Linked DNA regions of Stegostoma tigrinum. The protein of the gene in region 2 interacts with the protein of the main gene of each other region in a pairwise test. Links are inferred from orthologs where the notes say so. Each region holds a gene or a part of one and is shown on either strand. Other genes may lie near its edges. The genes, in order: txlna, cep44, aquaporin FA-CHIP-like and pop5.

Evidence for each region.
Region 1: the proteins of cep44 (region 2) and txlna interact in binary tests that used the Homo sapiens proteins (3 or more experiments, as listed by UniProt). The two-hybrid records come from large-scale screens. The link is inferred for Stegostoma tigrinum from reciprocal best matches to the Homo sapiens genes CEP44 and TXLNA.
Region 3: the proteins of cep44 (region 2) and aquaporin FA-CHIP-like interact in binary tests that used the Homo sapiens proteins (3 or more experiments, as listed by UniProt). The link is inferred for Stegostoma tigrinum from reciprocal best matches to the Homo sapiens genes CEP44 and AQP1.
Region 4: the proteins of cep44 (region 2) and pop5 interact in binary tests that used the Homo sapiens proteins (3 or more experiments, as listed by UniProt). The two-hybrid records come from large-scale screens. The link is inferred for Stegostoma tigrinum from reciprocal best matches to the Homo sapiens genes CEP44 and POP5.

The regions. Positions count from the first base shown.
Region 1 is NC_081377.1:47,670,314-47,677,975, reverse strand, and holds the start of txlna (alpha-taxilin), read left to right. Parts: upstream 1-4,654; 5' UTR 4,655-4,767; intron 4,768-7,662. UniProt on the Homo sapiens protein: May be involved in intracellular vesicle traffic and potentially in calcium-dependent exocytosis in neuroendocrine cells.
Region 2 is NC_081356.1:123,312,478-123,320,347, reverse strand, and holds the start of cep44 (centrosomal protein of 44 kDa), read left to right. Parts: upstream 1-4,855; 5' UTR 4,856-5,619; intron 5,620-7,870. UniProt on the Homo sapiens protein: Centriole-enriched microtubule-binding protein involved in centriole biogenesis. In collaboration with CEP295 and POC1B, is required for the centriole-to-centrosome conversion by ensuring the formation of bona fide centriole wall.
Region 3 is NC_081355.1:152,719,399-152,727,306, forward strand, and holds the start of aquaporin FA-CHIP-like, read right to left. Parts: upstream 3,009-7,908; 5' UTR 2,899-3,008; coding exon 2,530-2,898; intron 1-2,529. UniProt on the Homo sapiens protein: Forms a water channel that facilitates the transport of water across cell membranes, playing a crucial role in water homeostasis in various tissues.
Region 4 is NC_081379.1:39,187,457-39,195,447, reverse strand, and holds the start of pop5 (ribonuclease P/MRP protein subunit POP5), read right to left. Parts: upstream 3,001-7,991; 5' UTR 2,913-3,000; coding exon 2,893-2,912; intron 503-2,892; coding exon 360-502; intron 1-359. UniProt on the Homo sapiens protein: Component of ribonuclease P, a protein complex that generates mature tRNA molecules by cleaving their 5'-ends. Also a component of the MRP ribonuclease complex, which cleaves pre-rRNA sequences.

The DNA.
Region 1 (7,662 bases), on a different chromosome or scaffold from region 2:
TATGTGATTATGTTTGTGTGTGTGATTGTGTGTGTATGTATGTGATAGTGTGTGTATGATTCATGAATCTGTCTAGATACATCTTAAATGACGCTATCATGCCCGCCTCTACCACCTCCGCTGGCAACACGTTCCTGGCACCCACCACCCTCTGTGTAAAGAACTTTCCACGCATGTCTCCCTTCAGGTTTTCCCCTCTCACCTTGAAATCGTGACCCCAGTAATTGAATCCCCCACTCTGGGGAAAAAGCTTCTTGCTATCCACCCTGTCTATACCCCTCATGTTTTTGTAGACCTCAATCAGGGCCCCCTCAACCTCTGTCTTTCTAATGTGAATAGTCCTAATCTACTCAATCTCTCTTCATAGCTAGTGACCTCCATACCAGGCAACATCCTGGTGAACCTCCCTTCTGCACCTTCTCCAAAGCATCCACATCCTTTTGGTAATGTGGCGACCAGAACTGTATGCAGTATTCTAAATATGGTTGAATCAAAGTCCTATACAACTGTATAGAACTGTGTATGTGTGTATGTGATTGTCTGTGCGTGTGCGTGTGTGTGTGTATATATCTATGTAATTATCTGTGTGCGTGTGTATGTTTATGTGATTGTGTGTTTGTGTGCGTGTATGTGATTGTCTGTGTGATTGTGTGTATGTATGTGGTTGTGTGTGTATGTGATTGAGTGTGTGTGTGTGAGAGAGATTGTGTATAGAACATAGAACATTGTGTTTGTGTGTGTGATTGTGTGTGTGTGTATGTGATTATGTGTGTATGTGATTGTGTGTAACTGCATGTGCGTGTGATTGTGTGTGTATGTGATTTTCTGCATGTGCGTGTTTGTGTATGTAATTGTGTGTGTGTATGTGATTGTCTGTGTGGGTATGTGATTGTGTGTGGGTATGTGATTTTGTGTGTGAGATTGGGTGTGTAATTGTGTATATGTGTGTATGTGATCTTCTGTGCATGTATGTGATTGTGCATGTGTGTGTTTATGTGATTGTCTGTGTGAGTATGTGATTGTGTGTATGTGATTTTTTTTGTGTGTGTGTGTGTGTGTGTGTGTGTGTGTGTGTGTATATATAGAGTATAGTGTGTTGGGGTCACTTGTAGTGTGAAATGTACCCAAGATCCCGGTTGAGGCTGTCCTCGTGGACACTGAACATAGCTATCAGCCTCTGATTTGCACTTGCACATTTATAATTGTAGATACATTTTTTTTGCTCAAAAAGCACAGAAATTGCAGACAATCCGTATTGTATTTTATAAATTCCTGCTTTAGAAATAACATCATCTGACTCCAAATTGATACACAGCCAGGTTCTAAACAAGGCCTCACACTTAAAATATTAGGTTATTTTCTCTCTCCATGGATGCTACCCAACCAGTTGTGATCTCCAACATTTTTGCTCAGCATGGATTTCAGCAACTGCAATAATTTGTTCCTACATTGCGTTTATTAATGTCTGCGTTGAATACAAGCTGAAGGAGGTGTATACAATGTTGGTTTAGCTACAGCTTGATTACTGTCAGCTTTTGTGCTCCTAAGATGCTGCTTGTCCTGCTGTGTTCATTTAGCTCCACAGTTTTGTTGTCTTGGATTCTCCAGCATCTGCAGTTCCCATTATCTCAGACACAAGGGGATGTTTTCTTTAGAGCACAGAAAGCTGGAGAGGGAACCTGACTGAGGCGAACACGCAGCTTACAGGCAGGGAACAAAATGTCCCTTCACCCTGAAGGCAAAGTATTATGTTGGAGCCCCACCCCCTTCGCGCCCCGCCCCCTCTGTCGCTCCACCCCTTCTCCCGTCCGGCTTTTGCCCAGCCCCCCCCACCCATTCACTGGATCCTTCCCCTTTAGCCGCAACCTCGAGTCCTAGCCGCACCTTCCCAGCTTCTGACTGAAAAAAACTGTAATTGTTTGAAGTCGGAAACAATAACAGAAACTGTTAGTGAACCTTATCTATGGACAGAGATACAGAGTTAACATTTCTGATCCAGTGACCTTTCAGAATGTAACAAGGTGTGGACATGGATGAACACAGCAGGCCAAGCAGCATCTCAGGAGCACAAAAGCTGACGTTTCGGGCCTAGACCCTTCATCAGAGAGGGGGATGGGGTGAGGGAACTGGAATAAATAGGGAGAGAGGGGGAGGCGGACCGAAGATGGAGAGTAAAGAAGATAGGTGGAGAGAGGTTTGGTGAGGAGGTAGGGAGGGGATAGGTCAGTCCAGGGAAGACGGACAGGTCAAGGAGGTGGGATGAGGTTAGTAGGTAGATGGGGGTGCGGCTTGGGGTGGGAGGAAGGGATGGGTGAGAGGAAGAACCGGTTCGGGAGGCAGAGACAGGTTGGACTGGTTTTGGGATGCAGTGGGTGGGGGGGGAAGAGCTGGGCTGGTTGTGTGGTGCAGTGGGGGGAGGGGACGAACTGGGCTGGTTTAGGGATGCAGTAGGGGAAGGGGAGATTTTGAAACTGGTGAAGTCCACATTGATACCATATGGCTGCAGGGTTCCCAGGCGGAATATGAGTTGCTGTTCCTACAACCTTCGGGTGGCATCATTGTGGCAGTGCAGGAGGCCCATGATGGACATGTCATCAAGAGAATGGGAGGGGGAGTGGAAATGGTTTGCGACTGGGAGGTGCAGTTGTTTGTTGCGAACTGAGCAGAAGTGTTCTGCAAAGCGGTCCCCAAGCCTCCGCTTCGTTTCCCCAATGTAGAGGAAGCCGCACCGGGTACAGTGGATGCAGTATACCACATTGGCAGATGTGCAGGTGAACCTCTGCTTAATGTGGAATGTCATCTTGGGGCCTGGGATAGGGGTGAGGGAGGAGGTGTGGGGACAAGTGTAGCATTTCCTGCGGTTGCAGGGGAAGGTGCCGGGTGTGGTGGGGTTGGAGGGCAGTGTGGAGCGAACAAGGGAGTCACGGAGAGAGTGGTCTCTCCGGAAAGCAGACAGGGGTGGGGATGGAAAAATGTCTTGGGTGGTGGGGTCGGATTGTAAATGGCGGAAGTGTCAGAGGATGATGCGTTGTATCCGGAGGTTGGTAGGGTAGTGTGTGAGAACAAGGGGGATCCTCTTAGGGCGGTTGTGGCGGGGGCGGGGTGTGAGGGATGTGTTGCGGGAAATACGGGAGACGCGGTCAAGGGCGTTCTCGATCACTGTGGGGGGAAAGTTGCGGTCCTTAAAGAACTTGGACATCTGGGATGTGCGGGAGTGGAATGTCTTATCGTGGGAGCAGATGCGGCGGAGGCGGAGGAATTGGGCAGAGGGGATGGAATTTTTGCAGGAGGGTGGGTGGGAGGAGGTGTATTCTAGGTAGCTGTGGGAGTCGGTGGGCTTGAAAACCACCCTACCAACCTCCGGATACAACGCATCATCCTCCGACACTTCCGCCATTTACAATCCGACCCCACCACCCAAGACATTTTTCCATCCCCACCCCTGTCTGCTTTCCGGAGAGACCACTCTCTCCGTGACTCCTTTGTTCGCTCCACACTGCCCTCCAACCCCATCACACCCGGCACCTTCCCCTGCAACCGCAGGAAATGCTACACTTGTCCCCACACCTCCTCCCTCACCCCCATCCCAGGACCCAAGATGACATTCCACATTAAGCAGAGGTTCACCTGCACATCTGCCAATGTGGTATACTGCATCCACTGTACCCGGTGCGGCTTCCTCTATATTGGGGAAACCAAGCGGAGGCTTGGAGACCGCTTTGCAGAACACCTCCGCTCAGTTCGCAACAAACAACTGCACCTCCCAGTCGCAAACCATTTCCACTCCCCCTCCCATTCTCTTGATGACATGTCCATCATGGGCCTCCTGCAGTGCCACAATGATGCCACCCGAAGGTTGCAGGACCAGCAACTCATATTCCGCTTGTGAACCCTGCAGCCGAATGGTATCAATATGGACTTCACCAGTTTCAAAATCTCCCCTTCCCCAACTGCATCCCTAAACCAGCCCAGTTCGTCCCCTTCCCCCACTGCACCACACAACCAGCCCAGCTCTTCCCCCCCACCCACTGCATCCCAAAACCAGTCCAACCTGTCTCTGCCTCCCTAACCTGTTCTTCCTCTCACCCATCCCTTCCTCCCACCCCAAGCCGCACCCCCAGCTACCTACTAACCTCATCCCACCTCCTTGACCTGTCCGTCTTCCCTGGACTGACCTATCCCCTCCCTACCTCCCCACCTATACTCTCCTCCCCACCTATCTTCTTTACTCTCCATCTTCGGTCCGCCTCCCCCTCTCTCCCTATTTATTCCAGTTCCCTCTCCCCATCCCCCTCTCTGATGAAGGGTCTAGGCCCGAAACGTCAGCTTTTGTGCTCCTGAGATGCTGCTTGGCCTGCTGTGTTCATCCAGCCTCACATTTTATTATCTTGGAATTCTCCATCATCTCTGACACTACACCTGGTTATCTCAGATTCTCCAGCAGCGGCAGTTCCTACTGTCTGTGCTACACCTTTCAGAATATTTTTGTTTCTGGTCAAAGTGCATTTTGGGAACAATCGATTCCCTCAAAACTAGGTACCTGCCAATCTACATTACCCGAAGGTCTGCGCGACAACTTCCACGCATAGCCGGAAGCACTCTTCTGAAAGCCGATTGGTTATTCGCCTGGCGGTCACTGGTGATGCTGTTAGGAAGACGCCGGCGCACTTCCGGTTAGTGCGGGTGCGAATCCGGACGGACTGAGTGGTCGCGTCGCTGGAACCTGAGGAAAGTCGCGGATCCGTGGTGTACCTTGTGTGTGGGAGGGTGAGTGTGCGGTGGACTTCCTCCCCCGTCTCTGATTTACCTCACGGAGGCCCAAAGCTGTTAACCGAGACCGTGGTTAACGCCGGGGTTTACTTGGAGTTTTGAGCCGGGCCCAGGCCGTATCTGATGCGCACTTTAGCGCTGATCCCGAGCTAACGCCGAGTTTTGCCCCGGGATCGACAACGTGCGGCGCGGTTGAGGCTGATTTTCCTGTTTGTTGCGCATCCGCGCCGTCACAATGTGGAAATATGTGCCTCCCGGGCTGTCCTGAAAACTCCTGTTTGGTTCATATCCACTGAAAAGGGATTTGTGTTTGTACGGAACAATCTGACCCTGAAACTCGCGTCGGTAAATGCTGCTGAGTTTTCAGGTTAAACTCTTGGTTTTTCGGTAGATAATTCTTTCTCTATAAATCAGCCTTGATGTCTGTAACAATTTGGCATATATGATTAATATGTTGATTTTCAGCAAACGGGTTGTAACTGACACCTTTGGGACATTTCGATTAATCGAGTTCATTCCACCCACAAAATATGGGATTTACCGACCATTATCTCTCCCCGTGCAGTCGTCTTGGGCACGATTTTGGATGAATACTCCTAGCTAATAACAAGACTAAGATATAGGAGCAGAATGCGCATTCGGCCCATCACATCTGCTCCACCATTCAATCATTCCTGTATTTTCCGCGTAACTCTTGAACTCAGCTGTCTCTGTCTTAACACCACCCATTCGGCTGGTGTCAATAAATTCCACAGATTCATCATTGTCCAGCTGAAAAAAATTCCTCATCTCAGTTCCAAAGGGTCATCCCTTAAATCTGAGCCTGCCCTCAGATCCTAGATTCTCCTACTAGTGGAAATGCCTTTTTCAAGTCAACTCTATCCAGGTTTATCAGTATTCCGTAAGTTTCAATCAGGTCTCTTCCCTCCACGACCCCCCCCCCCCAAACCTCCATGTATCACATGGCCTTATTTTCTCTCCTATATCCTGACTACTGCTAGGAGGCCTGTAGGTAACTCCCATCAGTCATTTATCCTTTGCAGTTCTGCAGCTCTACCTGGATTCTACTTTGCGATTCTTTTATATGACTTTTTGCTATCAATTTAATTTCATTTCTTACTACCAAGGCAACCTCACCCCTTCTGGCAATCTGTTTGTCCTTTCAATAGGATACATATCTTTGGGTATTTGGTTCTCAGCCCTGATCTCCTTGCAGATGTGTCTCGGGTACCTGCCAGTTTCAATCTGCACCACCGGCTCATTGACTTTGTTTTGTGCACTGTGTGTGTTTAAATATAAAACCTTTAGTCCTATGTTGACTGGCTCCCATCCTTATCTGCTGTGCCTGAAGTTAGATTATTGACCCTTTCTGTACTCTGTCCTTTTAAAGTTTTCAGAACAATTAATAACCTTGGCTGACAAATTCCACCACCCCCCCCCCCACTTTAACTTATTCCTGCATTTTTTAGTTTAGTTCTATCCACAGCCCTAGTTGGGTGATTCACCAGGACTTTGGTCCTAGCATGGTTCAGGTGGAGCCCATCCTAACAGAACAGCTTCCTCCTTCCCCAGCACTGGTGCCACGGTCCCATGAATTTGCACCCATTTCTCCTGGGCTAATCTTTGAGGTTCGTGTTTCCTCTTGAATTTTGTTGACCCTATGTCAATTGGTTTATGGGTCAGGTAGTAATCCAGAGATTATTATCGTTTTGGTTCTGCTAATCAATTTATCCCTTTATCTGTTTATATTCCCTCAGCAGAACTTCTGTCCTCTTTCTTCCTATATAATTGATACCTACATGGCCCATGACAACTGGATTCCTCTTCCTCCACGCCCCCCCACACACAAACACGCGCACACACACAAACACACGCGCACACACACAAACACACACGCGCACACACACAAACACACACGCGCACACACACAAACACACACGCGCACACACACAAACACACACGCGCACACGCACAAACACACACGCGCACACGCACAAACACACGCGCACACGCACACGCACAAGCGCACACGCACACGCACAAGCGCACGCGCACACGCACAAGCGCACGCGCACACGCACAAGCGCACGCGCACAAACACACGCGCACGCGCGCGCGCACACACGCGCCTGGGCACCAGGCAGATTACACAACCTCTTGAACTCTAGATCGGACCACAGAACTGTCTGTTCCCCTGATTATAATGACATTTCTCTCTTCTGCTCCATCCTGAATGGCACCTTGTTCCTCCTTGCCATGGTAGTTTGCTCCAGCTTCCCATTGCTCTGCTGTCATCCACATCGGGAGCAGGAATCTCGGACAAAAATAGAAATTGCTGGAAAAACTCAGCAGGCCTGGCAAAATCTGCAAAAAGAAAACAAAGTAAAATATTTCAGGTGCAGTGACTCTTCAGAACAAGAAATAGAAAACATATCTGCAGTCTCCTTGCAGTTATCCTTCTTACTAAGTTTTTTGTCATCTGAAAATTTGGTGATATTACATTTAGTTCCCTTAGCTAAATCCTTTTTATTCATTATTGGGATGTGAATGTCACTGGCTGGCCAGCATTTAATGTCTATCCCTAGTTGTCTTTGAGAAGGTGGTAGTGAGCTGCCTTCTTGAATTACTGCAGTTCATATGGGTCAACCGACAGCATAATGCCATCAGGGAGGAAATTCCAGGATTTTGACCCAACGACAGATAAGGAGCTGTGATATATATCCAAGTCAGGATGTTGAGGACTTGGTGGGGAGCTTTCAGGTGGTGGTGTTACCGTGTATCTGCTGCTCTTATCCTTGTAGATGGAAGTGGTTGTGGGCTTAGAAGGTGCTTCTAGGGTCTTTTGAGAGTTTCTGCAGTGCATTTTGTGATGGTAGACACTGCTGCTATTCA
Region 2 (7,870 bases):
AGGCATCACCTGACAAAACCTCTTGGGTAACCATTGTCGGTGAAAACTTTGTGTGGGTGTTCCTCTTCCATTTTCTGGAGTGTTGGGGTGTTGCAGTGTGATGCAGCTTGTTTAAATAGTGTCTTGATGCAGCTCTGTTTGTGAATGTTAGGGTGGTTGCTATTGAAGTTAAGGATCTGGTTTGTGTATGTGGCCTTCCTGTATAGTTGGGACCAGAATTTGCTGTTTGTCAATGTCTCTACCATTACATCTAAGAACGGGGGCTGTTTGTTGTTTCCTTTCTCTCTTACAAAATTTATGTTTGCAAAGATGTTAACAAGTCGGTGGGCTTCTTCTACTTTTGTGTGTTTGATTATTACAAATGGGCTGTCCATGTATTTTATCCACATTTTCAGTTAGATTTTAGGAAGGACTGTGTGTTCCAATCTCTGCATCACTGCTTCCGCGATGAGACCTGAGATAGGTGATCCAATCGGTGTGCCACTGATCTGTAAAGACCCCATACTGACAGTAAATAAGACCAATGTGATACACAGAAGACCATGCAGCGAGTGCAAAAAACATTATGTTGGACAAACAGGGAAGAAACTGATGACCAGCATAAATGGACACTAGCTAGCAGTAAAAAGATACAACGAATAATGATCTGTCTCAATACAGTGAGGACCATCAGATCAACTAGGACAAAGTGACCATATGGGTACAAGCGAACAGCAGACATGGAAAGGAACTTCTGGAAGTCTGATTCTCAACATGGGACTCCATTAACAAACACATAGAAATAAACCCCAAATACAGACCGCTGCTAAAACAACAGAACTGGCAGTGACAAGATCATCACATCAGAAGATCATATAAATCCAGAAAGAAGCAGAACACCAATGCTTCGATGAGAGGCTGAACTGATGATGTTGCCTATGGTAATGAAATGTCTGTACACCACAGAAAACTGGCTTGGCAATCTAAAAAACTGCAAATTGGGCGCAATATTCCAGAAGAAGCCTCATCAATGTCCTATACAAGCTCAAAGTAACTTCCCAAATCAAAGGACTGAGCGATGAAGGCATGTGTGCCAAAAGCCTTTTAACCACCCTGTCTATATGTGACGCAAACTTCAAAGAATTACGTACCTGAATGCCTAGATCCCTCTGTTCTACAACACTATCCAAGACCCCACCATTAATTGTATAAGCCCTACCTTTATTTTTTGTACCAAAATTCATATACATTACATTTCGCCAGATTGAAATCCATCTGCCATTTTTCATCCCATTGACCTGTTTGATCGAGTTCCCTTTGTAATCTTAGAAAACCTTTTTCAACATCTATTAGGCACGAATTTTGATGTAATCCACAAACTTACTAACCATGCCTTCTATACTCTCATCCAAATAATTACCACCATCATGTTCTGAGAAGCAATAACGGATGGGCAATAAATGGTGGCTTTGCCAGGGACATGCACATCCCGCGAATGAATAATTTTCTGGTTATGTAGTTCTCTGTACGTTTTTTTATTATGAAACCGACTGCCTACTCCCTCTGGGTGCATTTGTGCACTCATTGCGCAATGAGTGAAAATGATTCACCACCAATCCTAAGCAGGCACTAGATATGCAGAACACAAAATAAAAAATGTTGGAAATACTCAGAAGGTCGAGGTACGTCTGTGGAGTGGAAAAGTTTCAAGGCACAGGCCATAAACATTGGATAAAGTCTTGTCTTCTGGAGGTGGTGAGCTTGAAGTTGATGAGATCATTCAATTTGTTTCCACGGTACCAAATACAAACATGACATTCCATGTTCCTTCATTGGGATTAGGTTCAAGGTGGGAATGTCCATGGTAGACTTGTCCATGCCATTGTTAATTGAGGCCCCTAGAGTGGATAATTAGGGGCCAGTTAAGAGTCTCAGTTTGCCCTTACTGAGATTAACCCAGCTGAAATCAGGCCTGCAACATCCATAGATAAGAACTCTGTGTAAAATAAAGTGCCCTGGAGTCCTCACTTCAACTTGTTCTGAATTCTGACCCTGGATCTTGAGACGTGCGAATTGAAATTCTAAATATTTATTTAACCCTCGAATACAAAATTTTCAGGGACTGCATTTTTAACTAAGATTTGCATTCATGTAATGTTTTTGTCAGTGCAGACTCAAGGGGCCAAAGGACCTTTTCTGTCCTGTATGACTCTAATGAGATTGATGTTAAAGATGAGATAACAAGGTGTAGAGCTGGATTGACATAGCAGGCCAAGCAGCATCAGAGGAGCAGGAGAATTTCAGCCTAGACCCTTCTTCAGAAATGGGGGCAGGGAAGGAGGTTCTGAAACAAATAGGGAGAGAGAGAGAGGCGGATAGAAGATGGATAGAGGAGAAGATAGGCGGAGAGGAGACAGACAGGTCAAAGAGGCGGGGATGGAGCCGGTAAAGGTGTTTTTTGAAGTATTAACAGTATTTTGAAAAGGAGTGGGCGACTTACTCCAGCCCAGATTGTCCCCGCCTCCCTAACCTGTTCTTCCTCTCACCTATACCTTCCTCCCACCTCAAGCTGCACTTTCATTTCCTACCTATTAACCTCATCCCGCCTCCTTGACTTGTCCGTCCTTCCCAGACTAACCTATCGCCTCCCTACCTCCCCACCTATACTCTCCTCTCCACTTATCTTCTCCTCTATCCATTTTTGGTCCGCCTCCCCCTCTCTCCCTATTTATTTCAGAACCCTCTCCCCATCCCCCTCAATGATGAAGGGTCTACGCCCGAAACGTCAGCTTTTGTGCTCCTAAGATGCTGCTTGGCCTGTTGTGTTCATCCAGCTTCACACTTTGTTATCTCGGATTCTCCAACATCTGCAGTTCCCATTATCTCTGGGACCTTACTCCTAGTGCCTCAGGCATTTTAATCCAAAATTAACATCACTAAAAAGATCATTTGTCCAAAGGTTCCTTCAGAATACAACAGGGCCTTGATGGGCTGGTGGGCCAAGGTGCTGAATTTTAGAAAGTCAAATCAAGGGAGAACTTATACACTTAATAGGTCCTACGGAGTGTTGCTGAGCAAAGAAACCTTGGAGTGCATATTCATAGATAGTAGGAACTGCAGGCACTGGAGAATCTGAGATAACAAGGTGTAGAGCTGGATGAACACAGCAGGCCAAGCAGCATCAGAGGAGCAGGAAGGCTGATATTTCGGGCCTAGACCCTTCTTCAAAAATGGGCTGGGGAAGGGGGTTCTGAAATAAGTAGGGAGAGAGGGAGGGACGGATAGAGAAGATAGGTGGAGAGGAGACAGACAGGTCAAAGAGGTGAGGATGGAGCCAGTAAAGGTGAGTGTAGGTGGGGAGGTAGGGAGGACATAGGTCAGTCCAGGGAGGATGAACAGGTCAAGGGGTCGGGATGAGGTTAGTAGGTAGGAGTTGGAGGTGGGAGGAGGGGATAGGTGGGAGGAAGGCGGGGACAAGCTGTGCTGGATTTGGGTTGCAGTAGGGGGAGGGGAGACTTTGAAGCTTGTGAAGTCCCTATTGGTACCATTGGGCTGCAGGGTTCCCAAGTGGAATATGAGGTGCTGTTCCTGCAACCTTCGGGTGGCATCGTTGTGGCACTGCAGGAGGCCCAGGATGGACACGTTGTCTGAAGAATGGGAGGGGGAGTTGAAATGGTTCGCGACTGGGAGGTGCAGTTGTTTAGTGTGAATCAAGTGTAGGTGTTCTGCAAAGCGGTCCCCAAGCCTCCAAGGAACACCTACACTCAGTTCGCACGAAACAACTATCCATCTTCTATCTGCCTCTCCCTAATTACTTCAGAACCCCCTTCCTCTTCCCCATTTCTGAAGAAGAGTCTCAGCCCGAAACATCAGCCTTCCTGCTCCTCTAATGCTGCTTGGCCTGCTGTGTTCATCTAGCTCTACAGCTTGCTATCTTAGTGCCTACTCCTAGTTCCTTGAAGGCAGAGTTGCAGGTAGACTGGATAATGAAAAAGGCATTTGGTATGCTTGCCTTTACTGGTCAGTGCATTGAGTATGGGAGTTGGGACGTCATGTTGTGGCTTTATAGGATATTACTTAGGACACTTTGGAATAATGAGTTCAATTCTGGTCTCCCTGCTATAGGAAGGCTGTTGTGAAACTTGGAAGGATCCAGAAAATATTTAGAAGCATGTTGCCAGGGATGGAGGCTTTGAGCTATGGGTTGAGGCTGAATAGGCTGGGACTGTTGTCCCTAGAGCATAGGAGGTTGAGAGGTGACCTCAAAGAAGTTTATGAAGTCATGAGGGGCATAGATAGGGTGAAGAGCTAAGGTATTTTCCACAGCGTTGGGTGGTCCAAAACTAGAGGGCAAAGATTTAAGGTGAGTTGCAAAGGATCTAAAAGGAACCTAATCAGCAATTTTTTCATGTAGAGGATGGTACATGTCTGGACTGAACTGCCAGAGGAAGTGGTGGTGGCTGGTTCAATTGCAACATTTAAAAGGCATCTGGATGGGTACACAAAGGGTTTAGCGACATATGGTCAAATACTGGCAACTGGGACTAGATTAATTCAGGATATCTGCCTGTCATGGATGAGTTGGACCGAAGGGTCTTTCCAATGCTGTATAGCTCTATTCGTGTATTATCATATTGCTGTTTGTAGAACTATTGTGAACAAATTACTTCCACACTCCTGAAATTGCAACAATGACTCCACTCCAAAAATAACGTCATTGGCTGTAAAGCAATCTTGACAAATTCTTGACAGAAGGTGCTATAAAAATGCAAGTTTCGGCGTGAATCGTTCACTCTGCTTTCTTCCCAGATACTGCCAGACCTGAGTTTTTCCCAGCAATTTCTCTTTACGTTTCCAATCTCCAGCATTCGCAGTTTTTTTTTCCATTCGAAAAGGGCAGATGACCGAATATATTGGTCAGGTAAAGTGTTAAGGATCTGCTGAGCTTTATTAACCATTTTCTCAATCCACATTCAGTGATTTGTGTATTAATATGCCAGATTCCTGTCTCCGCATCGCCTTCAGGATTAACTTTTTGACCACGTTTATTTTCCTATGAGATTCCTTGTCGCTGGCTATGTTGGCATTGAATGTTGGCTATAAATGCAACTTGGTGCCATAGTGAGATCCCTATTTTTGAAGACGCAGGGGCAGATTCCATCAATGGAGGGAAAAAAAGGCATCCTCCAATATCGGCAAAGTGTAACAGGTCGTTTTTGTTAATTGCGAGGAGAGGAGGAAGAACCGTGTTTTTTTTTAAGAAAGAACGGCTGTTGCCTCTGTCTAAAACCGAGAGCGAGAGAGAGAGAGAGAGAGAGACAGAGACGTTGTACGCTGGCGAATATGCGGGGCGGAACGGAGAGCTAATGGATCGACTGGCAGACGGAGAAGAAGCCGGAACGGTGAGGAAAGCAGCCAGGAGGCCGTTAGGGGGAAACCTGTCAATCAAATTCAAACCGAGCGCGCGAGGCGCCCGCTGCAGACCCGCGGGGATACAGAGAGAGAGAGAAACCTGTCAATCAAATTCAAACCGACCTACTGCTCCCCTAAGAAGCGCACGTTGGACTGATCTAGCAACCCACGGACCGTTCGATAACAACTTCAAAGTCGAGTCGGGGAAGACGAAAGCCAGGCCGGCAGGTGAGAGAGTTCGGTCAGCTTACCGATAAACCCAGTGCCCGGTTCAGGTTATCCTCAACACTCACCATGGTGCCCTGACTGCCTATAACCATAGCCTCCGTCATACTGACCCTAATCAGTTTAACTTTGCCCCACCCCACTCTAGAGTGAGACCCCAGCTGCCCCCGACTCTTTGATTCCATCTCCCAGGGCTTTAATTCTTCTTCCTGACCCCCCATCTTCAGGGTAGCTCCCTGCCGTCCGACTCTATTTCCCCATTCCCAGGGCAAGGCCCTGTTCTGTAACCCCATTTCCACATCTTTTACATTCTTCATTGTCTCTCTATCAGTCTTGTCCTGTAACACAACTTTGTCTCTTCCTGTATAGAGTCTGCCCTCTGACACAATTCGAACCCTGACTTGTAACCCTGTTTCCCTGGGTCCGAGCCCTGCTCTCTGATCCCATTTCCTCATATCCTCAGATAACAGCCCCGATTTCTAACTGAATTTCCCACGTCCGTTGTCAAATACTGCTATCTAACTCTATTTCCCTATCTCCCCCAGCCCCTCATGCTTTCTGATCATAGCTCCATTATCCAATGCCACTCCGTCAGCTGCCTTAGTCTCTATTGCTCCTGAATCAAAGTCCTGCTCTCCAACCCCATTTTCCCACTCCCATAATCTCTTGAATCAAACCAAATGCTGATTGTTCATTCGAGTTGTCATCAAACATATTGATGCTTTATTGCAAACATGTGCATGAATTTGCAAACTCCGACAAACTATTGCAGAAACCATTTGAGCGAGAATGGGAACAAGTAATCTTCAATACTGAGAGACTGTCTTAAAAAGGGAAGAAAAGTACTGCTTTAATCACTGAAAACAAAAAGTGCTGGAAATCATAGCAGGTCAGGCAGCATCCATGGAGATAAAGGAAACTAATGTTTCGAGTCCATATGACTCTTTGTTGATTACCTCCTGAAAGTCCAAATAAAACACCTCCATTGGCTCCCCTTCATCAATTCAAGAGTCACATTCTCAAAAAATCCCAAATATGTCAAGCATGATTTCCTTTTCGTAAATCAATGTTGTATGATCCTGTCACTGTTTTCAAAGTGTTCATCTATTGTGATTTTTGTGGTGGAATCTAACACTTCGCCATGACCAACGTCAGACTGATTGGCCCATTAATCCTGATTTCCCTTTGTCTTCCTTTTTGAACAGGAGAATTATCTTAGCTACCCTCTAATCTGTACAACCTGTTACATAGTCTATAGAATTTTGGAAGATGACCACCAATGCATTCACTCTTTCCAAGGCCACTTCCATATGTACTCTGGGATATAGAATATCGGATCCTGGGATTTTATCTGCTTTTAATCATCAATTTCTGCAACACCATTTCCCTACTAGTACTAATTTCCTTCACTTTCTCCCTCATTAATCTGTGTTTCCCAGCATTTCTGGTTGATGCTATACTCTGTCTTCCTTTGTGAAAACAGACTGTTTTTAGTTGATCAGCCGTTTCCTTGTCCTCCATTATGAATCCCACTGTTTCTTATTGTAAGTGAGATATGGTTGTCTTCACTTATCTTTTCTCTTCTCTTCAAATAACTATAGAAACGTTTATAGTTAGTTTTTATATTCCCCACAAGCTCATCTCAAACCCTATTTTCCCTTTCTGAATCAATCCCTGTGCCCTCGTTTGCTGAATTCTAAATGCTCCCAAACCTGAGGTCTCTGGCCAATTTTTGTCTTGTCTTTGGATCTAATGCTACCTGTAATTTCCTTTGTAAACCATGATTTGGCCACCTTTCCCATTTTACTTTTGCAACAGATATGAATGAATAACAGTTGCAGTTCACCCATATGGTTTGTTTATATTTGCTGTTGCTTTACCGCCCTCACCCTTTTAAGCAACGTCTTCAATCTAATGTCACAGCAACCTCATGCCTTTTACTATCATAATTTTCTCTATTTAGCTTCTGGACCCGAGAACCAAAATCAACTACATCACTCTCTATTTTGATAAAGAACACAAATTTATTGTGGTCATTCAGCCACATGGGGCCTCGGACAGCTAGATTGCCAATTATTCCTTTTTCATTGGATAATATCAGGATGTTTTCTGTTAGGTCCTTAATATATTGGTCCAGAAAACCATCCTATATACCATCCAGGAATTCCTCCTGTATGATATTGTTACTATTTTGATTTGCGCAATCTTTATGCAGATTAAAGATGACCATAATGAAACATCAAGTGGCAGTTGT
Region 3 (7,908 bases), on a different chromosome or scaffold from region 2:
GCATCTACATCTGAATGTTAAATGGTATTTATGTAACAGCGTAACATGGTGAATCCTGCCTTAAACTTCCACCTCATACAGGGACGGGGTGGGGTTCCTGAGATTGACAGGCTGAGGTTACAAGTATCTGGGGGAATGAAGTTGCAGGGTCAACTGGCAAAACCGGCAAGGGTTTTATTTTGTGGAAGATATCTTTCAAAGCACTGGCCCGGCTGCTCCGTTTGACAAGCGATGCTTCAGAGGAGGTGGTTCCAAACAGCACTGTACCGACCACACGTCAGATTCTCAGTAGTTCCCCTTTCTTTAATAAATGTTTATGCAATGGAGTTACTTTGATGCAAAGTCCGCAAAAACCATTGTTGCAAATATCGAACAAATTCTCCACTTTCTTCGGCTACAGGTACCGTTCGATAGAATCACGTTTCTTTTCTTAAAAGGGCAATGTCCAACTTTAAAACCCATGGCTAAATCCGCGTGTTGATAGAATAACGGTATTATCTGGCACTGTCGGTCATCAGTTCACCACCACCCCCCCCCCCCCCCTCGCCACCACATCCCATCTCTTCCCCCCTCCCCCCCAACCTCTTCCTCTCTCCCTCCTTCTTGATGCAATCTTAACAGAAATTCAACTGAAGCAACCCTGGGGGCAAGACGATTATTTGAAGGGAAATGGTGTGCGAGGAAAAGGCGGTAGATTGGCTCAAGGTAATGGAGCTTTTCTGAAGAGCGAGTGTCAGCACAGCGGGCCGAATGGCCTCCTTCTGCACTGTTAACAATTCCATGATTCATGGTGGGGCCCACAAGTTCAAGATATTTTAAGTTCCCCATTTTAAAGCTGTGAGCCGAGAGGATTTTGTTCAGGACGTAAGAACCCGGAGCAGGAGTAGGCCATTCAGCCCCTCGACCCTGCTCCACCATTTCACAGAATCATGGCTGATCTCATCTCAACGTCACCTCTACTTTCCTGCCCGCTCTCCTTAACCCTTCAACCCATTATTGGTTAGGAATATGTCTTTGTCTTCCTCCAATGTACTCAACCCCACAACATCCACCACACCCTGGGGGAGTGAATTCCACAGATTCATGACCCTTTAGTCTCAAATAAAGCTTGATCTTGCTAACATTGATCTCGCCTAGGGCACGCCCTTATGCAATGTAATCTGTGAGCCTACACCTTTTTGATCTGTACATCCTTTGTTTACTATGAACTGCCTGTATCGCTCGTAAACAAAACTTTTCACTGTATTTTGTGACAATAAATAAATCAATCAAATCTCTGAGAGAAGTAATTTGTCTGTGTTTCTGTTTTGAATTTGCTAGCTTTTATCCTAAAATCTTGAGCTCTTGTTCCAGATTGCCCCAAATGAGAGAACATCCTCTCTACATTGACATTTTTCAATCCCCTTTGGCATCTTACTTACCTCAGTTAGATTTCCTCTCATTTCTGCTAAATTCCACGGAATATCAGCCTAAACTCATAGTCATGCAGTACACAAGATGCCCCTGACCCCAGTGAGTCTGCACAAACCAGACTACACTAATCCTGCTTTCTCGTCCTCGGCCCCTAGCCTTAAAAGTTAAAACATTTTAAGCGCTCATCCAAGAAGTTTGTAAAGGTTGTGAAGTCTCCTGCCTCATCTCCTCTCCAACACAGTGCGTCCCACATCCCCACCACAGCTATTCCTCAAATCCCATTCCCTTCACCTCAAAATGACACCCCACACACCCCCCACCACCACCTTCGATATTGACTCTCCAAGTTTCAAATCTGCCCAATTGCTTTTTATGAGTCCAGCCCGTCATCTCCAGAATGAAACTCCCTCCCTCAGGATTGCAGCAGTTCAGAAAGGCAGCTCAGCATGCCCTTCTTAGGGTGGCACGATGGCTCAGCAGTTAGCACTGCTGTCTCACAGCGTCAGGGACCCGGGTTCAGTTCCACCCTCGGGCGACTGTCTGTGTGGAGTTTGCACTTTCTCTCTGTGTCTGCATGGGTTTCCTCTCACAGACCAAAGACGTGCAGGTCAGGATGGATTGGCCACGCTAAATGGTCCATAGTGTTCAGGGATGTGTAGACTGGGTGGATTAGCCATGGGAAATGCAGTATTACAGGGGTGGGTCAGTGTGGACTCGATAGGCCAAATGGCCTGCTCCCAGACTGCGGGGATTCTGTGAATGGTGGTTATCTTAGCAAGCCAAATGATGAGTGGCTTAGACGTTATAGGGATAGGGTAGAGTCTGAATGAGATGCTCTTTGGAGGAACGGTGTGGACTTGATGGGGTGAACAGTCTCTTTCTGCCCTATAAGGATTGTGTGATTCTCAAAGGCAACTAGGGACAGGCAGTGAATAGTAGCCCAGCTAAGTGAATAAAGAAAATACACTGCATCCAATTAAGTAAGTTAAGAGAGCAACATTACGACAACGAGAGACTCTCCAGCCCAGCCCCTGTCTCTCTCTCTCTCTCTCTTTCTGTGGTCCCCACCAGCTCCCAGGGTGCTATTTACCGCTTTAAGAAGGGTAAGGTACTTACAGCGTTGAGTCCGAGGGTGCTGTTCCTGGATGAGGGGGTGAGCCCCAGAAGCAGAGCGCTGGCGGCTACCGAGCCCAGGAGCTGCGAGGCGATGTAGAGGATAGCCCGCAGCAAACTGACCTGGCAGCCGGCTAACAGCCCCAGGGTCACCGCTGGGTTCAGGTGCCCCCCGCTCAAGTGCCCGATGCTCTGCGCCATGGTGGCAATGGTCAAGCCGAAGGTCAGGGAGATCTGCACGATGTCGGCTGGGTATCCTCTGGGGGTCCACTTGGTGGCCGAGCCAGTGCTCAGGAAAACAAAGATGGTCATTCCCAGGAATTCGGCCAGCACTGCCTTCCAAAAGGAGCGGCGCTGTAACTCCCTGACCATCCTCAATGTGCCCCAAAATCACCCAGGAAAGGGCTCAAACTCTTCTGCCACCAAGCCCCCACCCAACCACCCTCCTTTTTAAATCCACCCTTATTTCCCACCCCTCACCCCCAAAACCGTGCGCGCAGATGCAAAGCAAAGTTTAGTTTGGAAGTGGATCAGGCGAGGCAGTTTTATAGAGGAGGTCTCCTGGGGGTGGCGACGAAAAGGCGTTTCTAAGTGCTGCTCTCGAACATTGCACGCTGGCGAGGCTGTTCCCAGCAAGAGGGACTGCGCCGTCTCCGGCATTGCTAGCAATTCTGAAACAGACCCAAGGAGATTGCTGGAGAAACTCAGCAAGCCTGGCAGCATCCGTGGAGAGAGAGGAGCAGAGTTTTTCGTTTTAGTTCAGTGACACTTCTTGCTGTTCGGACTCCACTGGTGCTCTGGAGTCACTCAAGCACAGAAACAGACCCTTCGGTCCAACTCGTCCGTCCGGACCAGATAACCAAAATTCATCTAGTCCCATTTGCCTGCATATCCCTCTAAACCCTTCCTATTGATTGAAACATAGGACCCCTACACTGTGGAAGCAGGCCATTCAGCCCTTCGAGTTCTCATCATTCCTCCAAAGAGCATCCCACCCAAACCCATTTCCCTGTAACGGCCCATTCCCCATGGCCAACCCACCAACTCTGCACATCTCTGACCATTGCAGGCACCTTAGCATGGCCAGTCCACCCTAACCTGTACATCTTTGGACAATGGGAGGAAACCCACGCGGACACGGGGAAAACGTGTGAACTCCACACAGACAGTCACCCGAGGGTGGAAGTGAATCGAGGTCCCTGGCACTGTGAGGCAGCAGTGCTAACCACTGAGCCACCGTGCCACCCACGTACCCATCCAGATGCCTTTTAAATGTTGTCACTGTACCAGCCTCCACCACTTCCTCGGGCAACTCGTTCCATACACACACCACCCTCTGTGTGAAAAAGTTACCCCTGAGGTCCCTTTTAAGTATTTCCCCTCTCACCTTAAACTTATGCCCCTCTAGTTTTGGACTCCCCCCACCCTGGGGAAAAGACACTGGCTATTTACCTCTCATGATTTTATGAACCTTTATGACACCACCCCTAAGCCTACAATGCTCCAGGGAGAATAGCTCCAGCCCCATTTGGCTTCTCCCTACAACTCAAACTCTCCAATTTGACAACATCCATGTAAATCTTTTCTGAACCCTTTCAAGTTTAACAACATCCTTCACAAAGCAGGGAGACCACAACTGAACACAGTATTCCAAAAGAGGCTTAACCATTGTCCTGTACAGCTGCTACGTGCCCTCCCAATTCCTATACTCAACGCACTGTTCTTTTGCACTATCTACCCCATCCCAATCTTCATGCTCTCCCGGCCCAGTGTTTACCTTTCAAGCAACAGAAGCAGCAGTTCAATCTGCAGCACTTCTATGGGATCTGGCTGTGCACAGACATGGATTGGCATGGATAGACTAATCCCACCTGTCTACATGTGACCCCATCCCCCTATTCCATGCTTGTGTCTGTCTAAATGCCTCTTAAACGTTGCTATCATATTCACATATCTGAAATGCAACATTGATTTTTTGCTTGGAGCAGAATGTTGAAGAAGCTACCCTGGGAACAGGCTCTGTCAGATCTAGTAATGTGGTAGGATAAGTACGAGACCTGTGGTTAAGGATTCTATAGGGCATAGTGATCAAAGCCTGGGAGAATTTCATAATTCAGTTTGATGGAGAGCAAGTCTGGTCTCAACCCAGTATCCTCATCTCAAAAGCAGGCAATTACAGAATTATCTAAAGCATGCTGCAAAAATAGACAAAGAAATGGTCAGTGGTTGAGAAGATGAGATATTTGTACAATGCTCAGCAAATATTTTTTCCAGTGAAAAAGAGGACTCTGATGAGAAGATTGAAACACCCATCGTTAAAAAAAATTCAAAAATAGTGCCCAATCGAAATCTAAAGCATACAACGCAGTGAAAATTTGTGATAGGACAGGCAATTAATTTTTTTGAGTCAACCTCTGCTAGTTCCTAAAGAAGGTAAGAAGGGGGAAGTTGATTACAAAATAAATTTTTAAGAAATATAAAAATAGCCTCTAAGGGTGTACAAAAAGAAAGGGAGTAGCTAAAGTAGGCGTAAGACCCATGGATTATATAAATTAATAATGGGGAACAGAAAAACAGCAGATAAACGAACATTTTGCATTGGTCTTCACAGTAGAGGCCAATATAAACAACTCATAAGCAAAGTGCGAATGGGTGGAAAGATTTTGAAACCATGTCTATCACTATGAACAGAAATATAACAAACTGATTAGACAGGTGCCCAGGTCCTGACAGCCTTCATCCAAGGGTTTTAAAAGAAGGGACTGCAGAGGTAGTGAAGGCATTGGTCACAATATTCCCGAACACTCCGCATTCTTGGGTGGGGGGGGGAAACGGGGATTTCCAGCTGTTAGATCACTGGTCATGTGACCCACCCGTTCAAGAAGGGAGCGAGACAGAAAGTAGGAAATTATGGGCTAATTAGGTGTCACTGAGAAAATGCCAAGTCCATTATTCAGGAAGAAATAGCATGACATTTAGAAGAGCTTAATGTGATCAGACATGATTGACATGATTCTGTGAAAGGGAAATCATGTTTGACAAGATTGTTTTAGTTCCTTGAGGATAAAACAAGCAGAGCTAATGAAGGGAAGCTAGTAGATTGTCTTTCTAAAAAGCATTTGATAAAGTGCCACATAAAGGTCGCTGCACAAGATAGGAGCTTGTGGCATTAGGGGTAACATATCAGCATGGATTTGGGATAGGTTAAAACATAAAAGACAGAGATAATGGGAACTGCAGATGCTGGAGAATTCCAAGATAATAAAGTGTGGAGCTGGATGAACACAGCAGGCCAAGCAGCATCCCAGGAGCACAAAAGCTGACGTTTCGGGCCTAGACCCTTCACCAGAAAAAGGTTTTCTTATAAAGGGTCTAGGCCCGAAACGTCAGATGTTGTGCCCCTAAGATGCTGTTTGGCCTGCTGTGTTCATCCCGCTCCACACCTTGTCATAAAAGACAGAGTCAGGATTAGTGGGTCTTTCTCAGGTTAGAGAGAGTTTTATGCTCTTTATTTATGATCTATATTAGTGACTTAGAAGAAGGATAGGCTGTGCAATACACAAACAGAAATTGCCGGAAAAGCTCAGCAGTTAAAGAGGGCCCATTGGATAATCTAGTCTGGGCTGAAACAACCACCTAACCATTCCAATCCCATTTTCCAGCATTTGGCCCGTAGCCCTGCAAGCCTTGGTATTGAAAGTGCACACCTAAATAAATCCTCAATGTTATGAGGATTTCTGCTTCCACAATAGGCACTGAGTTCCAGATTCTCACCATCCTTGGTGGGTTGATGCCCCCCGATCACTGATCCCTCAGTCAAGAGGTAACATTTCTTCCTGTTTATGTACCTTATAGTTTTATATGTCACAACCATCTCCCCATTCAGTCTTCTCCAAGGCAAGCAACCCTATTTCTGTGTGAGGTCATGATGCAGATATTCAAAAGACAGATGATTTTTTCAGTGGAGGGAGACTCAAGAAAGCTGCAGCGCAGTGGGATCTGGGTGTTCTTGTGAATGTATCACAACAGGTTAAACACGGAAGTATAGCAGGTCATGAAGAAGGTAAATGGAATTTTGTCCTTTATTGCCAGACGGTTAGAGTTTAAATTGAGAGAAGTCCTGTTACAACTGGAGATCGTATTAGTGAGACGTGGCACTGTGTACAGTTTGGACCCTGTATTTAGGAAAGGATAAACCAGCATTGAAAGCTGCCTGAGAGAGATTCACAAGACTGTTTCCTGAGATGAAGGGGTTGACTTATCAAGAACAGCTTAACAGTTAGGCTTTGAGTCATTAGCATTTGGAAGAATGAGGAAGAAAACATACAAAATTCTAAGAGGGCTTGACAAGGTAGGTGTTGGGAAGATGTTGGAGGATCTCAAACTGGTATTAAAGTAGTGAGACTGCCTCTCTGTGTAAGTCATTCATTACAGACTCAATTCAAGTCCAGTATTATCTTGGAGTCTACAACAGTCATAGATTAATAAAAACCAAAAGAACTGCGGATGCTGTAAATCAGGAACAAAAACAAAGTTGCTGGAAAAGCTCAGCAGGTCTGGCAGCATCTGTGAAGGAGAAAACAGAGTTAATGTTTCAAGATAACAAAGTGTGAAACTGGATGAACACAGCAGGCCAAGCAGCATCTCAGGAGCACAAAAGCTGACGTTTCGGGCCGAGACCCCTCATCAGAGAGTAGGTGACTCTTCCTCTGTTCTGAGTTGCCAAGTTCTGAGGAAGGGTCACTGGACCCGAAACGTTAACTCTGTTTTCTCCTCCACAGATGCTGCCAGACCTGCTGAGCTTTTCCAGCAACTTCGTTTTTGTTCCCGTCATAGATTAATCTCCGGGACCACTACTGCAAGCAACACACAGTGTTGGTAGCCTAGCGTGATATCTGAGGACAGATTCAAATCCGGACATGGCAGCTGGTGGAAATTAAATTCAAGTAATTAACAAATGTAATTAATAATTTGGGAACTGACTACTTGTCTCAGTGCAGGTAATTCAGAAACAAAAATTCTTCATGGGTCGAAATCTGCTATTTCTGACTGAGATGATGAGAAATGTCCCCGCTCAGGTGCTGGTGAACCTGAGGAATTCTCTACCACACTCCATACATTAAAGAATTAAATATATTTCTAGAGACTAAGGCAAATAGACAAGGTCTTATCCCCAGGGGCAGGGGAGTTCAAAACTAGAGGGTATAGGTTTAAGGTGAGAGGGGAAAGATTTAAAAGGGACCTAAGATGTAACCTTTTTCACACAGAGGGTGGTGTGTGTATGGAATGAGCTGCCAGAGGAAGTGGTGGAGGCCGGTACAGTTACAACATTTAAAAGGCATCTGGATGGGTACATGAATAGGAAGGTTTTACAGGGATATG
Region 4 (7,991 bases), on a different chromosome or scaffold from region 2:
CTCCTCCTCTTCCCTCATTCAAGGACTGCTGGCAAGAATACCAGTCTAGCCCAGCTCAACTTTATTCATTCATGGGATGTGGGCAACTTCAGTAGAAGACGCCAGAGTGAGTTGGAAGTTGCACAATTTGTAACTCACTCGTTTCTTCCATTGAAGATTCCCATAAGGAGCGAGTTAGAAATTGCACAATTTCTCATTTCCACAAGTAGATGCTGGTTGTCCACTTGCAGATGTGCACATAATTGAATCTTTTTGTTTTGCACTTTTTCAAACAAACAATGAGATGTACTTTTTCACTGAAATCTGGTATTTAAATCCCTTCAATTTTGTTTTATTATTGTGGACCTTCCATTACAAACCTGCCAGGGATAATGAGCAACAACCAAGTCCAAAGTCACCATGTGCTCGAATGATTGCATCTTTAACTGTTTTATAGATATTCTTCTCCTCGATACAATGCCGAAACTGGGGATTCTCGAACACTATCTCGCATAGCAGGTACCTGTGAATAGAGCAATCCCATTTACTTGGGCATTTGATCGTGTTTTATTTCACGCAACTTTACATCATATTGGCTGACAGCTCATGACTACCGTCAAATCCAGTGCCCTTCCTTGACCATGAAGATTAACCAGACATTTACTTTGTTGGAGGGACACTGCTGACACAAAGCTAAGTTCCTCTAAAAGTTGCTTTTTCAGAATAATCAGCTGTATAAGCACAGGCAATAATGATGCATGCCAGATAGTCCAATTTTCTGAAGAATCATTTACTGATTAAATCAATTTGTGGTGCGATTTAAAGTGACTTATCATCAAGTGATCCATTGACTAATTTTGAAAGGCAGATGTTTAAAGAACTATCTAGGTCATTAGATCTAGGCATTCTGAGCTGTGATCATTCCCCACACTGAATAATCAGTTATTTTTAAAAAAACATCCATTCTTTAAGTCAGCTTGTGTGTGTAGACCAATGAGCCTCTTGCCTAGCAAGTAAGTGTGTACCAGGCTCTCTCCTTACAACTGATTAAGCCAGATCCACAGACACTAATTAGCATGACATTCACTTCATCTCCAAAGCCAGGTTACTGAAGGCCACGTTGTGGCAAAGAAAAACATGTCAGAAGGAAACAAAGCCACCTCAGCTTTGGCCTGGACCTTGTGATTGGGTTGGAAGTAATCCTTTCAGTCCTTAAGAACTTTAAATCAAAAGCAGAAATATCCAAATGCGCACATATCACTCACTTGCAGAAACAACCTTTCACAGCATTATCTTCTCTAGCCTGAAGGAGGCACTTGAGCAACAAGCTCGAGAGGAAATCCTGGCAGTTACTTTAAAGCAGAACAGAGAATGGGGTGAACAGCCTGCTCCCACACCTTATGGTCATGTGTAATTGTTACTCATAATTTAACCTTTAGGGGCTACCTATCATTCTCACATATCTGTCAGTCACAAATCTAACTCTTATCCTAAACAGAGTTTAGATTTTACAACGTGGCCCCAAGAACTGTTCACACAAAGAGCACAGAAACGGGCCATTTAGTCCCACTTGTCCATACCAAACCACAGTCCCAACCTAAGATGCCTATGTGTGGCCCATATCCCTCCAAACATTTCTTATTCATGTACTTATCTAAAATCTCAAACATTGCAACTGTATCCAAATCCACCACTTCTAGAAGTTCACCCACACATTAACTGCTGTTAAAAAAGTTGTCCCCCCCCATATCTTTTTAAAAATCTCTTTCCTCTCACCTTAAAAATATACCAGCACCCTAGCAAAAAGACACACCTTATCTATGCCCCTGATCATTTTAAAACTGTAGGAAGTCACCCCTAAACATCCTACACTCCAGGTGAAAGAATTCCAGCCTATCAGAAGTCTCCCTATAACTCAACGCTTCTTTTCCCAGCAACATTCTGGTAATTATTTTTTTTTGAACCCTCTCCAGCTCGAGAATACACTTTCTATAACAGAGCGACCAGAATTGGACGTAATGCACCAGAAAAGACAAGGCTTTTCTGGTAGACATTCGGATCTTGATATATTCAGCAAGCTCTTGGATACGTGAAAGCATTCGCCGATTCACAGGAGCATCTCTAGTGTTTCCACAGACTTTCTTTAAACACTACAAATTTTCAGAAATAATAAGCAATTCAAAGCACGTCAACATAAATTAAGAAAACAAAGCGTTAATTAGACATTCATGGGGCCTCGACTAATGTATTATAAAAGTGTTCTTGAAATCTAAAGTTGTTGGGCTCAGGCTTTTGAGATACAGGGGTCAGAGAACAGATGATATTAAACCTGGGAGGCTGGCTCTGATGGGGAGCCACGGACCCGAAATATCGACCTGCTACTTGACCCGTTGACATTTTCTGTTCTTCCCCTCGCCCCATAGACTTTGACTCATCAAGAGAGTTCAACGTGTCCATGCATCTTGTCAGTTTGTGGCATCGGACCCAAAATTCAACCCTCACCAGTGAGGCTCTCATCTGGCACAACAGAAACTTAGGTTCCTGAAAACACCCACCACCGGTCGGGAGCTGGGGAAGGGGCGGAGAGAAAGTGCAGCGAACAAAACGAACTGTCTCGAAAAAAAAGACACTGACGGGTCTAGGCCCAAAACGTCAGCTTTTGAGCTCCCGAGATGCTACTTGGCCTGCTGTGTTCATCCAGCCCCACACTTTGTTATCGTAGATTCTCCAGCATCTGCAGTTCCCATTATCTCTGAACACATTAAAGGTCTTTTTGTCACCTATTTTGTCTATTGTAGGGCTGTTACACCTCGTAATTAAAAAAAGTAGGTGGATAGCTAGTCACAGTTGAACTGTCCATGTTTCCCGTAAGAGCATCCCTCCCAGTTTAAAAGTGGAGCGGATCCAAATTACCTGGATTTGAAGCGAACCATTCTCACAGCTTCCTCCCCAGACACAGCACGGCGGCCCTACTCGATACAACGGAAATGTAACATCTCGCTGATTGACAAAGCAATCAGCCAATCATCACAGAGAAAAGGTTGCCGTCGGCATGATTTCACCAATAGACGCAAAGTAGAGGCGGGGCTCCCACGGAACTTCCGGGTATGGGCGGGGTCAATGCCTGCTGCTCCAGTATTAAGCAGCATTGAATGTAGCTGGTGTTGGGGCACGTGTGTTTTTTTTGGGGGTAGTTGGGACATGCACTGCTTGGACTGGAGATAGGCAGACAAATACTGTCTCACAAGAGACCTTCTGTTAGTATCTTAGAGTAGATATTTTTTAATCAACCTGCCCAAACCATTGCATTCAATGTGCAGGAAGGGATCCATAACATTTTTTCGTGTGTACAACTGCTGAGCAGCGACTTCTGTTCCACATTTAACAGTGAACAGCTTTGTACTACGCCACTGCTTGTCTGGTACATGGGTTGCTGTCTTCTTTCTGACAAAGCAGAGTAGCTTAGCAATATGGTATTAGACCTATGACGTGGTTGAACACCACGATGTCGAGGTGTCTATAAACGTAGGTATTTATTTATTTCAGAGATAGTAGGAACTGCAGATGCTGGAGAACCTGAGATAAAAAAAGGTGTAGAGCTGGATGAACACAGCAGGCCAAGTAGCATCGGAGGAGCAGGAAAGCTGATGTTTTGGGCCTGGACCCATCTTCAGATATGGGGTAGGGGGAAGGAGAGATTTTAAAGCTCGTGAAATCCACATTGATACCATTGGGCTGCAGGGTTTCCAAGCGGAATATGAGGTGCTGTTCCTGCAAGAACACCTATGCTTGGTTTGCACTAAACAACTGCACCTCCCAGTCGCAAACCATTTCCACTCCCCCTCCCATTCTTTAGATGACATGCCCATCATGGGCCTCGTGCAGTGCCACAACGATGCCACCTGAAGGTTGCGGAAACAGCACCTTATATTCCACTTGGGAACCCTGCAGCCCATTGGTATCAATGTGGACTTCACAAGCTTCAAAATCTCCTCTTTCACCCTACCGCATCCCAAAACCAGCCCAGCTCGTCCTTGCCTTCCTAACCTGTCCTTCCTCCCACCTATCTCCTCCTCACACCTCAAGCCCCATCCCCATCTCCTACCTACTAACCTCATCCTGTCCCCTTGACCTGTCTGTCCTCCCTGAACTGACTATCTCCTCCCCACCGACTCTCACCTCTACTGGCTCCATCCCCACCTCTTTGACCTGTCATCACCATCTTTCTTCTCTTTTATCCATCTTCTATCTGCCTTCCCCCCCACCTCCCTATTTATTTCAGAATCCTGCCCCTCCCCCCATTTCTGAAGAAGCGTCTCGGCCTGAAACATCAGCTCTCCTGCTCCTCTGATGCTGCTTGGCCTGATCCAGTTCTGCACCTTGTTATCTCTATTTATTTGCTTGATGTCTTATTTCTCCTGCAGGATTGAAACTGACTCTGCACAATAAATTCAGTCTTCATCTCTGATAGAATACTGAACAGTTAAAACATAATTGTACTACAAGGTGTCATCAAAGCACAATTCCATTTTTTAAAAAAAAGTGTGCTGAAAATTCTGGCAGGATCTTTTTGTGCTTAATAGATTATGATGAGGTACTGCTGAAATGGCATTGGAACTGATTGTATAAGAAGAAAACAATTGTGTTGCTTGCCCACCAATGCAGTAAAGATGAGTCAAAGCTCTTCTGTCTGTTTCCAGTGATGGACCATTTCTGCGGATGATCTGGGAGTGAATACACAAATATTTTGGGTATGAAATAAATCTCTAAGGCAGCAAAGATGAAATCTTGAGCTGCAAACAGCAGTTTAATGTGAGATACAGTGTTGGTAAAGAAATTGGAAGTTTGTGTGTGTGTGTGTGTGTGTGTGTGTGTGTGTCTGTGTGAGAGATGATTGGATGCCCAGATGATTAACAACTGCTCTTAAACTGCCAATTGTGTTTGTTAGTGAGGCTGCATGACATTTTAACAGTAAGAATGTGAAATAAAGGAGTAAGAGTCAATCAGGCAGCAAACTGACCTCTCAGTCAATGTGAATGTGGCTAATCTTAAGTTTCAAACTCCACCTTTGTCCACTCCCCATTTCCCACAGTTCACTGAAGCACCAATATATTTCTCTACCTCAACCTTAAATATAGAAATGATGATGTACCACATTTCTCTGAAGTTGAGAATCCCAAAGGTTCACCCTTTGAGTGAAGAATTGTCTCCTCATTTCAGTTCTAATGTTAGCCCCTTAACCTGAAACTATGCCCTCCTGTTCTAGATTTCCCAGATAGGAGAAACAATGTTTCAGTGGGGTCCTCTTGTGGCAAAGTGTTAGCGTCCTTTCCAAGAGGCCCAAGTTCCAGTCCAACCTGCTCCAGAAGTGTACAATAACATGTCTGAGCAGGTTGATTGGGAAAAATAGATTAAACAAATTTGTTAAAAAAAATTAACATCTCAGTATATATCCTATGAGACCCCTTCATCATCCTGAATATTTCAATGAGATCACCTTGCATTCTTTTAAATCCCAGGAATTGTAAGCATTATTTACTCAGACTCGTCCCACGGACCGATTTAGTAAACCTTCGCAGCGTTGCCTCTAATCAAGTGATTCCTTCCTTTGGAAACTAAAATAGTACAATATTACCGAAGCTCTGTACCACTGTAAAATGACACCTTTACTCTTAAACTTCAAACACTTTACCATTGTTATAAAGGTCAACACATCATTTCTTTCCCTAATTGATGGCTGTACCAGAATTCTAACTGCATGTTCCTTGAATGAGTACACCCAAGTTTCTCTGAACTTCAACATATACAAGTTTCACCCCATTTCATGGCCTACTTACGGCTTGCATTCCCAGTTAACATTATATCATCAGCAAGAACAAGAGAGTCATGTATTTAAGTTATTAATAGCAAGTGAACTAACTCTGTTTCTTAATAGCAAGCCACTGAGTAGGAGTAAACCAGTTGCAAAGAATTTCAAATGCTATTTAGAGCCATTTATATTCACTTACTATTGAGCGTTTGAAGAGGTCGCTTGAAGTGTGTCAAGAGAGTTTCCAGGAGGGTCCAGTCTGGGAAATGGTTCAGACCTGATACGTCAGCTTTCCTGCTCCTCTGATGCTGCCTGGCTTGCTGTGCTCATCCAGCTCCACACCTTGTTATCTAAAAGAGTTTCCAAGGTGCTTTTATCAAATCTTCAATATGCTGTTAATATTTGGAAATTCTTTGAAGAATTCACTGAAAGCACGGGAATATCTGGGCAATAGTGACCTTAATATAATGATAGAAGAAGAGATAGGTATAGTGAAAGCCAGATTAGTAGAAGAGAGAAAAGCTGATTTTGAGGGGCTGAGAATGGAACTTGGTAAAATAAAAAGGACAATTATGTTGGCAAATGATGCAGAACAACACTAGGAAACATTAACAAAAGTGTTCAACAGAGTTGAACTGAGAAAATATATTTTACTGAAACCAAGGACAAACTAAACATGACTGTGACTCTGGATAAATGACAATGTAAGAGAACGGATGAAAATATTGAAAAAGGCATCCCTTAGTGATGGAGACAGGGCCCTCTTGGGTGTAGAGATAGTGCCCTGACTCCTGAACCGAGAGACCTGGGTTCAAGTCCCACTTGCTCCAGAGGTGTGTATAAACATCTCTCAACAGGTTGATTAGGGAAAATGGGTTAAACATATAGACAGCAGAGTGGTGCAAGATAAATCAGAAATGGGTTGTGGTAGGAAATTCAGAAGGCAGATATGAACTATTAAATTATCAAAGAGCATGAAATAAGAGTTAAAAAACATTAACAAGTTATTTAGATAACAAGGTGTAGAGCTGGATGAACACAGCAGGCCAAGCAGCATCTTAGAAGCAGAAAAGCTGACGTTTCGGGCCTAGACCCTTCTTCAGAAATGGGGGAGGGTAAGAGGGTTCTGGAATAAATAGGGAAAGAAGGGGTGGCAGATAGAAGATGGGTAGAGGAGAAGATAGGTGGAGAGGAGACAGACAGGTCAAAGAGGTGGGGTTGGAACTAGTAAAGGTGAGAGGAGGTGGGGAGGTAGGGAGGGGATAGGTCGGTCTGGGGAGGACGGACAGGTCAAGGGGGCGGGATAAGGTTAGTAGGTAGGAGATGGGGGTGGGGCTTGAGGTGGGAGGAGGGGATAGGTGGGAGGAAGGACAGGTTAGGGAGGCGGGGACGAGCTGGGCTGGTTTTGGCATGCAGTGGGGGAAGGGAAGATTTTGAAGCTTGTGAAGTCCACATTGATACCATTGGGCTGCAGGGTTCCCAAGTGGAATATGAGTTGCTGTTCCTGCAACCTTCGGGTGGCATCGTTGTGGCACTGAAGGAGGACCATGATGGACATGTCGTCTAAGGAATGGGAGGAGGAGTTGAAATGGTTCGCGACTGGGAGGTGCAGCTGTTTAGTGCAAACCAAGTGTAGGTGTTCTGCAAAGCGATCCCCAAGCCTCCGTTTGGTTTTCCCGATGTAGAGGAGGCCACAACGAGAACAGCGGATGCAGTATACCACATTATCAGATGTGCAGGTGAACATCTGCTTGATGTGGAAAGTCTTCTTAGGGCCTGGAATGGGGGTGAGGGGGGAGGTCTCCCTGACCACTGTCTTCTTTATATCATCAGATTCACAAGCTTAGATATTTACAGGGGATTCCAGTCCAGTTTGTAATGTATTTCTCCCTTTGAAGTCCATCCGTTTAATCCTTCCTTGACCCTTCATTAGGTGTCATGTTATATGATCTCTCTGTCTCTTTCTGTCTCTCACTGTATCCAAACAGTCACTGAATTTAGAGATAATGGGAACTGCAGATGCTGGAGATTCCAAGATAATAAAATGTGAGGCTGGATGAACACAGCAGGCCAAGCAGCATCTCAGGAGCACAAAAGCTGACGTTTCGGGCCTAGACCCTTCATCAGAGCTGAATTTATATGGGCTGTAATCTTGGCTGTATCTGTCCTGTTTTAAACATAAATGTTGGACTTGAAGTTCGTT